3 linked regions of the Saccharomyces cerevisiae S288C genome follow. The gene in region 2 interacts genetically with the main gene of each other region. Each region holds a gene or a part of one and is shown on either strand. Other genes may lie near its edges.

Region 1 (3,405 bases), on a different chromosome or scaffold from region 2:
TTTTGAGTTTGAACGTGAAGTGCACAAGAAATCCAGATGCTCCAAAGGGATCTACTGATCCAAAGGAACTATATAACAATGCCCATGTCTACGCCCGTGATTTGAAGTTTGAACCACAGGGCAGACAATCTACCACTTTTGCTGATTGTCCGGTTGTTCCAGCTGATCCTGATATTTTATTAGCTAAGCTAAGGCCTGGTCAAGAAATTTCGTTGAAGGCACATTGCATTTTAGGTATCGGTGGTGATCATGCTAAATTTTCACCAGTTTCCACCGCTTCTTATAGATTATTACCTCAAATCAATATCTTACAGCCAATCAAAGGTGAAAGTGCCAGAAGATTTCAAAAATGTTTTCCCCCAGGTGTTATTGGTATTGATGAAGGTTCAGATGAAGCGTATGTCAAAGATGCTAGGAAGGATACGGTTTCCAGGGAGGTTTTAAGATACGAAGAGTTTGCTGATAAAGTTAAATTAGGAAGAGTGAGGAACCACTTTATTTTCAACGTAGAAAGCGCTGGTGCCATGACACCAGAAGAAATTTTTTTCAAATCCGTCAGGATTTTAAAGAATAAGGCTGAGTATTTGAAAAACTGTCCAATTACCCAATGATCCTACTTTGCATACTAATAAAAAAAACACAGTTTGAGAAAAATATTAAATACTTAACCTCAGGGTCTTTATCTTTGTATAATCTTTTCTTCTAGTATTAGTAGAATTGGCAAATCCTACCAAAAAAATACAAACCCATGAATCGTCATAGATAAGGAAATGTAATAGAATGATATATGTAAATGTAACTCTCTATAAAATAGTGCCGATAACAGTAATATGCATTACCCCTTATGGACTACATATATATACTATTAGACAGAATTGCTAGCATTCTCATTGTTGTCATTAATATTGCCGTCATTTAAAATGGCATTCATGGTTTTATTTAATGGTATTCGTGCAACTATTACAGAGCCATCGTAGCCATCACTATTTACAGGTTCTAGTCTTTCTGGCTCTTCAAAATCTAAATCTGCCAATACAACACATGTTAGTGAAAATAAAGTAAACTGTACAATAAGTATGCTAAATTCGAACATTACTAATCCAAGATTGCCGGAAAAGTTGCTCTTTGGTAGCCGTTCTCCGATCATCTGTAGAAAAAGCCCACCTCTTCTCTCACCCAAAAGTAGACCATCTGAATTGGAAAAGGGTGAGGGAGTATTCTTAGGGCCATCGTCTACTGGCTCGCTACCACTCAGGGGTTCAAAAAAATCAATTGGGAATAGGATTGTTAAGATAATGAAAAGCATATTCAACGATAAGCAACCATGAAATAAAAACTTCCGGATTTGCTTTTTCATGGACACAATAGCGGTATCATCATGGTCTTGTTGCTCAGCTTCACTAGAAGAATTATAAAGCATTTCTGTTCCAAACATTCCGGGAAACCTGATAGATCTTCCGCCTGGAAGTGTTGCAACCCCCGTCGTGTTATTATCTGCACCGAGGGTCGCTAGCCTACGTAACTTGGCATCACTTGGAAAAGGAGAACTTATGAGAGATTGCACTATTGCTCTTGTTATAAGTGTCCAGACGGTACGATCATACTTGATATATTCCAATGATATTAAAACATACCCGAGAAAGCTCAAATTATTCACCAAATTTCTTTGGAAGTTTCTTTTTCGTAGTTCGTATACTCGTTTGTTTCCTATACTTAAATTTCCTTCAGCAGTACTTTCAAAATTATCCATTATTATATTGGCCTTATTGAAAACATAGATTAGTTTGCTTTTGGCCTGCTAATGGATGACAAATAGCGTGCTTAGTATTTTTAGGCTTCCGCAGTTTAGCTTTATTTGATGATACGTCAAGAGTGCGGGATAATGTAGGTTCAAAAGGATCAAATTGTGTTTCGTTATATATGATTTCCTTGCAATAACTATAGAGAAGGAGAACAATATAACCTTGTGCATGAAAGCATCATAGTCTTAAAGAAAAAATTTAAACTAAAATGCAGAATCAATTCTCATGGATTTTTTATATAAAAAGAAGCTAAATAAGTGTTAACTTTAGGGAAAAAATTTTGCCACCTGTCAGAATTGAACTAACGACCTTTGCATTACAAGTGCAACGCTCTACCACTAAGCTAAGGAGGCTTTTACACTGTAGGGTATCCTCCAAGAAGGGACAAAGTGTCTGCATGGAAATTTGCAGCCGACTTCTCTTAATGTCTGTAACACTTAAACTATCATGGAGTGATTTCATTTCAACGATATCCCTAAAAGCGAACCAGAAGTGTTTTAGTTGAATCGTTTATTGGCTAGAACACTCGAATACAACGTATTAAACAAATGAAGAAACAATGACCGTATCATGAATTTCCTTTTATGGGGATTCCTTTTTCTGGTTATACTACTTTTTAAGAATTGGCATTTTCAGCCTTAGATTCCTCACTTTCAAAAGAAGCATGGTCCTTTATGAGACATTGCAATTATGTAACTTTCCGAACTAAATACTGAAATTTTTAATGGAAGCTTGAAAACTATAGAAGCTCTCCGTTTTAAAGGAGAAAGAGGATGATTACAATCCTTTGACTTGAACCGATCCATATATCCTCTCACTACTATTTACTCAAGTCTCCAAACTATGTATACATGTTGATGTGATTATGTGCGTTGCTAAATAATGTAAATTCCTCAAACACGATCTGACCCTGTCAATCTCACTGCTGCACCGTATTTTTGTAATTTTGTTAGCAAACCGTCACCTTGCTTAACTAGCAGATGGTATTGAGCATTTTTGTTGTCTGGCCTGTTGGTCTCTACGATCCCATTAACTCTATCAATGACACAATTTAGTTGCTTATTTGGAATAAACTTACCCAGGTCGTTATCCAAGAACGCAACCGAAACACCAAATGCGCTTGCCATAGATTTCAGCGACAAAGTCTTATATGATTCCAACAATTGTGCGTAGACTTTTCTTCTCATTTCTCTAACAAAGAAATCTGCATGTCTATTCAAATATTTACATGGAATCAAAACATTTGCATATGTTTCCAAAAGATATGGAAAGTAACTGGCATAATCGGACGCGTAAAGGGAAATTGTTAACGACGAGATAGATTGTAGTGCGGCAGTTGTTGAGATTAAAGATAACAATTCAGGTGAATCGATGACTTTGGATTTTAGGTCTGTTCTTTCCAGAGTGAATAAACCTGTGACCGATGCATATGTGGCAATGCTTTCATAGGAAGTTAATTCAATAGAGGTGAAAGTTGCTAGAGAATCGACCAATAACTTTGCCGCTTCCTTAAAGTTTCTTACGGCCAAGCAGTGGATACCATAGTATGTTTTATATCTATTTCTTCTCTCCCAGTCACCACCTTTTTCAATCATAGAATTGA
Region 2 (3,186 bases):
TACCTTTCATCTTCTTCTCCTCCACCTTATTTTCGTGGCAGCCACCCTTATGGTGAGGCTTCTTCTTCTTATCATCATTATCATCATCATTGGAACTTTCATGCTTAGGCTTCATGCCCTTTCCTCCCTCGTGGGCGCTCCCATGAGAGCCACTTGCACGTTTACCGTTGAATTCCGGAGACTCCTTGTCTTGGCCCTTGCGGCCCTTCTTATGGAACTTTCCATGTTCTTTATCTTCAGAGTCAGATGGCTCCTCATCATCGTCCTTAGTGAATTCCACTTTTCTGGGTCTCTCGTGGTGATCTTCCTTGTTAATCAGTTCGTGGTGGTCGGCGGCATTTTCAAGATTTGGGATGACCAAAGCAGCAGAGATGCTCCCTAGGGCACCGAGTGTAAATAGAGTATTTTCTAACTTCATCTTTGCTTGTTAGAATTAGGTTTAGTTTGTTTTTTTATTGGCGATGAAGCTAATTGGACTCTTAAGTTTGTATGGGAAGAACTCCAATATAACGGGACGTAACATTGGCCCCCTTTTATATTCATCGCGCTCTTTATCGCGGGTGTGTTTGCCCCCGCCACTCCCGCAGTCCTGGCGTGATAAGCCACTGCAGTGGCATTACTGAGCCCAAATTTTGCTTTTTCAACAAGTCACCTAAATTTCCAAAGCCGAAAGCCCTGCTACTCTGCTAACCCGGAGCGTTTAAAGTCCACGGACATTTCCCAGCCCTCGTTTTTTCTCCTCCCGGGACCCCGGGCATAAGTGCATAGTAGGCACAGACCTGATCTGTCGGGTGCAGTTTAAAAAAGTCTTGGCAAAATTTTTTATTTATCACACTACTGTGCTATATAGAGTATATGTAATTTTTAACTATTGGTATATGTGTCCGTGACCTCGTAGTTAGTGGCTGATTTGTCGGGTGCAATGCAGTGTTCAAAAAGCCTCTTAAAAGGCGAGCAGACGTATTCGGCTCCTTTGAATTGGCACTCCCATTGCACAAGCTCTTTCAGCCGGCAGTTGGTTTGTGAGTCAAGCGTTGCTAACGGTGCGAGCGCTTGGTCCCTAGTGCGGATGGTGGTTGGAGGCGCCATGAGGGTTGATTGTCTTATCTGCGATAGATGAGTCTTTCTTTCCTTCTCTTTTCCCCTTTTCTCCCCCCCTGTTTCTCGTCCATCTCTATCTGTCTATCTGTCTTATCTACTGTTAGTTTTTTTTTCGCTTTCACGATACCGCATTACGTACTGCGCTGCGGAAGTGTGGATGAGTGGCATATACACTCTTCTGCAGAGGATTTTCGTACACAACGGTGTGTGTGTGCTGTGAAGCTGTCTGCTTCCTTACTTGGCTGTTTGCTTGCTTGTGCGTCATGGTCACTTTTGTTAGAAGTGAGCCGCATAAAATGGCATGTCGGCACAGCCTACAGTTAAAAATTAAGCATATCTGACTGTTTATCTGTTTATCTGTTTATACACGGTGAACTGTCACGAGAACCCTTACTTGCACGATTAGCAGATTGTTCAGAGAGCCTCGCTCGTTGAAGTTCTTCTATATGCCAGCGTGTTTCATGTAGCAGGAAACGTTGCTCTATTTATATCTTTTCTGACATTTTGCGTCGTCGGGAAAAAAAAGATTAAGTAAGAACAAAAAACCGTTAATGGTTTCAGCAATCGAGACAAGTACAAGGACCAAGGCAAAGGTCAGCAGTAAGCTTAGAGACGATGAAGGTTGATTACGAGCAATTGTGCAAACTCTACGATGACACGTGCCGCACAAAGAATGTGCAGTTCAGTTACGGTACGGCCGGATTCAGAACGCTGGCCAAGAATTTGGATACGGTGATGTTCAGTACTGGTATACTGGCGGTTCTCAGGTCGCTGAAGCTTCAGGGTCAGTATGTGGGGGTGATGATCACGGCGTCGCACAACCCATACCAGGACAACGGGGTCAAGATCGTGGAACCAGACGGATCGATGCTTTTGGCCACATGGGAGCCATATGCCATGCAGTTGGCCAATGCGGCCTCTTTTGCCACTAATTTTGAAGAATTTCGTGTTGAGTTGGCCAAGCTGATTGAACACGAAAAGATTGATTTGAATACAACCGTCGTGCCTCACATCGTGGTTGGGAGAGACTCTAGGGAAAGTAGTCCATACTTGCTGCGCTGCTTGACTTCCTCCATGGCCAGCGTCTTCCACGCGCAAGTTTTGGACCTAGGCTGTGTCACTACGCCTCAATTGCATTACATTACTGATTTGTCCAACAGGCGGAAACTGGAAGGAGACACAGCGCCAGTTGCCACAGAACAGGACTACTATTCGTTCTTTATAGGAGCCTTCAACGAGCTCTTCGCCACGTATCAGCTGGAGAAGAGGCTGTCTGTCCCAAAATTGTTCATAGACACAGCCAATGGTATCGGTGGTCCACAGTTGAAAAAACTACTGGCCTCCGAAGATTGGGACGTGCCAGCGGAGCAAGTTGAGGTAATCAACGACAGGTCCGATGTTCCAGAACTGTTGAATTTTGAATGCGGTGCGGATTATGTGAAGACTAACCAGAGATTACCCAAGGGTCTTTCTCCATCCTCGTTTGATTCGCTATATTGCTCCTTTGATGGTGACGCAGACAGGGTTGTGTTCTACTATGTCGACTCAGGATCAAAATTTCATTTGTTGGATGGTGACAAAATTTCCACTTTGTTTGCAAAGTTCTTGTCTAAACAACTAGAATTGGCACACCTAGAACATTCTTTGAAGATTGGTGTTGTGCAAACTGCCTATGCAAACGGCAGTTCCACCGCTTACATAAAAAATACGTTGCACTGTCCCGTGTCTTGCACTAAGACAGGTGTTAAACACTTGCATCATGAAGCTGCCACTCAGTACGATATTGGCATTTATTTCGAAGCAAATGGACATGGTACGATTATATTCAGCGAAAAATTTCATCGAACTATCAAATCTGAATTATCCAAGTCCAAGTTAAATGGTGATACGTTAGCTTTGAGAACTTTGAAGTGTTTCTCTGAATTGATTAATCAGACCGTGGGAGATGCTATTTCAGACATGCTTGCTGTCCTTGCTACTTTGGCGATTTTGAAAATGTCGCCAATGGATTGGGATGAAGAGTATACTGATTTGCCCAACAAGCTGGTTAAGTGCATCGTTCCTGATAGGTCAATTTTCCAAACC
Region 3 (3,164 bases), on a different chromosome or scaffold from region 2:
TTGTTGTACCTCCGTACCCATAGTAAGCTGGAATGCCACTACGGTAAACCCCACAACCCTTATCATAACCTGATTTTGGACATGAGACATTCGAATAGATTATGTATTCTTGATCTGAAGAAATCAAAGTGCCATCTGCCAAAACGGTAGCTTCACTGGCGCTGCCAGTACCGTTAGAACTAGCGTAGGACAAAGCATTTCCTAAACAAGGGGAAGCTTCACCTCCATGATTTAGAAAGGTAACGTTATCAGCGGTTTTGGAACTGGACTCATAGTAGGCAAGACGGTTCCAATCAGAAGAACTTCTGCTGTTGTTGACGGTAAATCCAGGGGATGTGTAAAAAGCAAATTGTTTCAACTTCAATGGTCCACGGAAATGAACGGATAAATAGTCTGCTAGTGGAGCGTTCTTACCACTAAACCATACTCTGTCACCCACTTCGCAAGTACACGATTCATTGTTGGTGATATCTTTAAACTTATTCACATCTACGTAGGAGCCTGTAAAACCAACATTAGTGAAATCCAACTTTTGGTACGACTGAGGTCCACTGGCAGCGACTGTGTGCAACATAAACATGCACACGGAAAGGACTATACTCTGTAACATTTGTCTTATTTAAGCTTGTAATGTTTGCACTTGAGTATGTTCTATTATGGCTGCTTCCTTCGATAAGGATTGTTTCTCGAGGATTTTCAGGTTTATAAATAACCTAAGCTCGGCAAAATAGACAAAAGAAAAGGGCGGAGCCAAGACTTTGAAAAAAAAAAATGGAAAAAGGAACCCTTGCAGATACAGCAAAAATGGGAAATGGAGGCTGTGGAAAAGAAAGAGGCTGATATCATTTTCTGTCTTTAGATCTACCTAACGGCTTTTCTTACATAGGAGAACTACAAATATTATGAGTATAGAATCGATGAGGAGGCCAAGCAAAGACCGTAAATTCCAGTCGCGGAAGGTCTTACGTAATAAATCGTGCGACTCCAGCACATCGTGGGCTACCTTCTTCAAAAACGCGTAACGATATTTTTTCAAGGTGTCATTCTCGTCCTCGACTTGTTCCGTGTTCACGTTTAGGAAAGACGACGGCATACCGTCTTTGCTCTCGTAATATTCTTCGCTGTTGCTATCACTGAAATTCTGCATGACGCGAATCTCTTGGAGGACTTCTTCCTTTATGGGTATCACCGTTCTTTTAGTTATGGCTTCATATTCATAAAATCCTGGGTATTCGTCTTCTTGCAAGTCGTGGAATTCCAATTCATGTGGTTGCCAATACTGTAAGAACCACCAGGCTAAAAGATTCACCAACCAGAAAACGGGGCACAAGATTCCAAAAACAAAAAACCTTGGCAGCCAAGGTTGGACAGGCACACTCATTTTACATGATTTGCATTGGCAACAGTATTTTTTCATCCAAGGGTTCTCATCGTTCTCGAAGGGCGCGGCTAGATGTTTTGTTTTATGCTCAATACTTGATGCTAAAGTAGTCATGTTTCTTGTCGTCATTCTTTGAATTTTTGTAGTCCTATGTACAAGCACAATATAAATGACAGACTAGTCAACGACGCTGACCCTTTATATGTTCCCCGTATATTCCTTGTTTTCATTGCAGTTAACATGTAAATTTCCCGATGCGGTAATTACGTTTCAAAGTCATTTCAACACTTCTATTGACAGCAAAAAAATAAAGACACTTGAAACGCACGATTTTTTCAAGAATAATATCTGTCGAGAAGATGTGTCACATTACCTATCATTACAGTGCTACTGATAGCCCACTAATGCGGATATTTAAATATATGCACCAAAAATGTATAAAGAAATAAACGGTAAAGACAAAAAAAATTACTTATTACAAATCGCAATTACAATTAAAGTACAAGACTTCCTTTGGGACAGAAAACGTGAAACAAGCCCCAAATATGCATGTCTGGTTAATTATGATGATGTTGAAGGTGGAGGAGAAGACATCCTTGTTGATGCTGATGATAATGCCAACGCCTTTTTTTGCTTCTTCTTGAGGATAATCTTATCCATGTATGAATTTATGAATTCTTTAACTTTATGCCTTTTTCCTTTGGTTAAGTCATCAGGCGGCGCTCTTGAAGAATCTTTTTTAAGTTCCTTTGTAGTTAGGATTTTCACGATGTCTTTAGCACATTGTTTAATGTTTTCATGATCAAATTGTTTACTTTGTGGGTTTTTTTTTATTAAGTTGGGTACAAAAGATGCAAAGAATTTATTCCAGTTGTGCTCTAGTCTTTGGGACTGGGAGACCGTTTTTCTTTTCAACCGCTTAGCCTCTTTTGCTTCCACTAGTTTTTTGGCCTCTTCCTTTTGTAACTCCTTCTGTTTGTTGGCCTCCGCTATAATATCCTCCAAAACGCTTTTTCTTTCATTCTCAAGCTTTAGCTTTTGCTTCAGGCTTTCCAATTCTTCTTGTTTGGCTCTTTCTAGCGCAATTCTTTCGTATTCCAGTCTTTTTTGTTTCTTCCTCTCATATTCTTCGTCACTCAGCTTATGTTTCTTAGAGTCTAAAGCGCCAGGCGTTTTTGGTATTCCACTGCTACTCGGAGAATTTACTTGTGTATTTGACCTTGAACTAAAGACCTTAGATGATCCCGAAGGTGGATAGTGTAGTTTCGTTTTCTGTTCTGCATTATAATACAATGGGCGACCGTTTTCGTGAATGATCTCCCAGCCTGGAGGTAATCTCACCCTTCTCAAATCTATCATTTTGCTGGCTGCGACGTTTATGTCTTTCTTCGTTATCCTTTTATATGTTTCAAATTTCGACCATTTCTCCAATAACTCATCGCAGTTTGGCTTTAAAAATGGAAACTTTGCAGGGAGAGTTTTTACTACATTATCAATTTGTGACGACTCAATACCGTTTCGAGTTGTCTTTGGTAATTCCAACAAAAAATCTAAAATTCCCTTTATAAACTTTATATCATCTTCTTCAGTCTCGTTTCCTTTTCCATCTACCTGAGGTTGTTCCGTGATAAACAATTTAAGCATTTTGCTAAAACAGGTGTAACCGTGTAGTTTGATAGCCTGATGACGAAGAGAGTCATCATCGATAGTAAAAAGTCTCTTCAAGAGTTTGGATGCAATTATCTTATTATCTTGCTGTAGTAATACACTCATGATCTTCGTC

What was found. Genes that interact genetically often act in the same process or in processes that back each other up.
Region 1: mutations in SOM1 (region 2) and GLD1 together harm fitness more than expected from each alone (negative genetic interaction), as found in Saccharomyces cerevisiae (one large-scale study listed by BioGRID).
Region 3: mutations in SOM1 (region 2) and ASG7 together harm fitness more than expected from each alone (negative genetic interaction), as found in Saccharomyces cerevisiae (one large-scale study listed by BioGRID).

Annotation. Positions count from the first base shown.
Region 1 is NC_001148.4:743,034-746,438, reverse strand, and holds GLD1 (Gld1p), read right to left. Parts: upstream 1,751-3,405; coding exon 866-1,750; downstream 1-865. Other genes in the region: DNA-directed RNA polymerase core subunit RPC40, read left to right, coding at 1-611; proteasome regulatory particle lid subunit RPN7, read right to left, coding at 2,696-3,405.
Region 2 is NC_001137.3:41,536-44,721, forward strand, and holds SOM1 (Som1p), read right to left. Parts: upstream 1,090-3,186; coding exon 865-1,089; downstream 1-864. Other genes in the region: PRB1 (proteinase B), read right to left, coding at 1-418; HHY1 (Hhy1p), read left to right, coding at 1,117-1,425; phosphoacetylglucosamine mutase PCM1, read left to right, coding at 1,717-3,186. UniProt on the Saccharomyces cerevisiae protein: Non-catalytic component of the mitochondrial inner membrane peptidase (IMP) complex. IMP catalyzes the removal of signal peptides required for the targeting of proteins from the mitochondrial matrix, across the inner membrane, into the inter-membrane space.
Region 3 is NC_001142.9:100,285-103,448, forward strand, and holds ASG7 (Asg7p), read right to left. Parts: upstream 1,496-3,164; coding exon 866-1,495; downstream 1-865. Other genes in the region: TOH1 (Toh1p), read right to left, coding at 1-610; histone methyltransferase SET2, read right to left, coding at 1,943-3,164. UniProt on the Saccharomyces cerevisiae protein: Required for receptor inhibition of inappropriately expressed a-factor receptor (STE3) in MAT a cells. Inhibits signaling by relocalizing the G protein beta-gamma (STE4-STE18) subunit to intracellular membranes.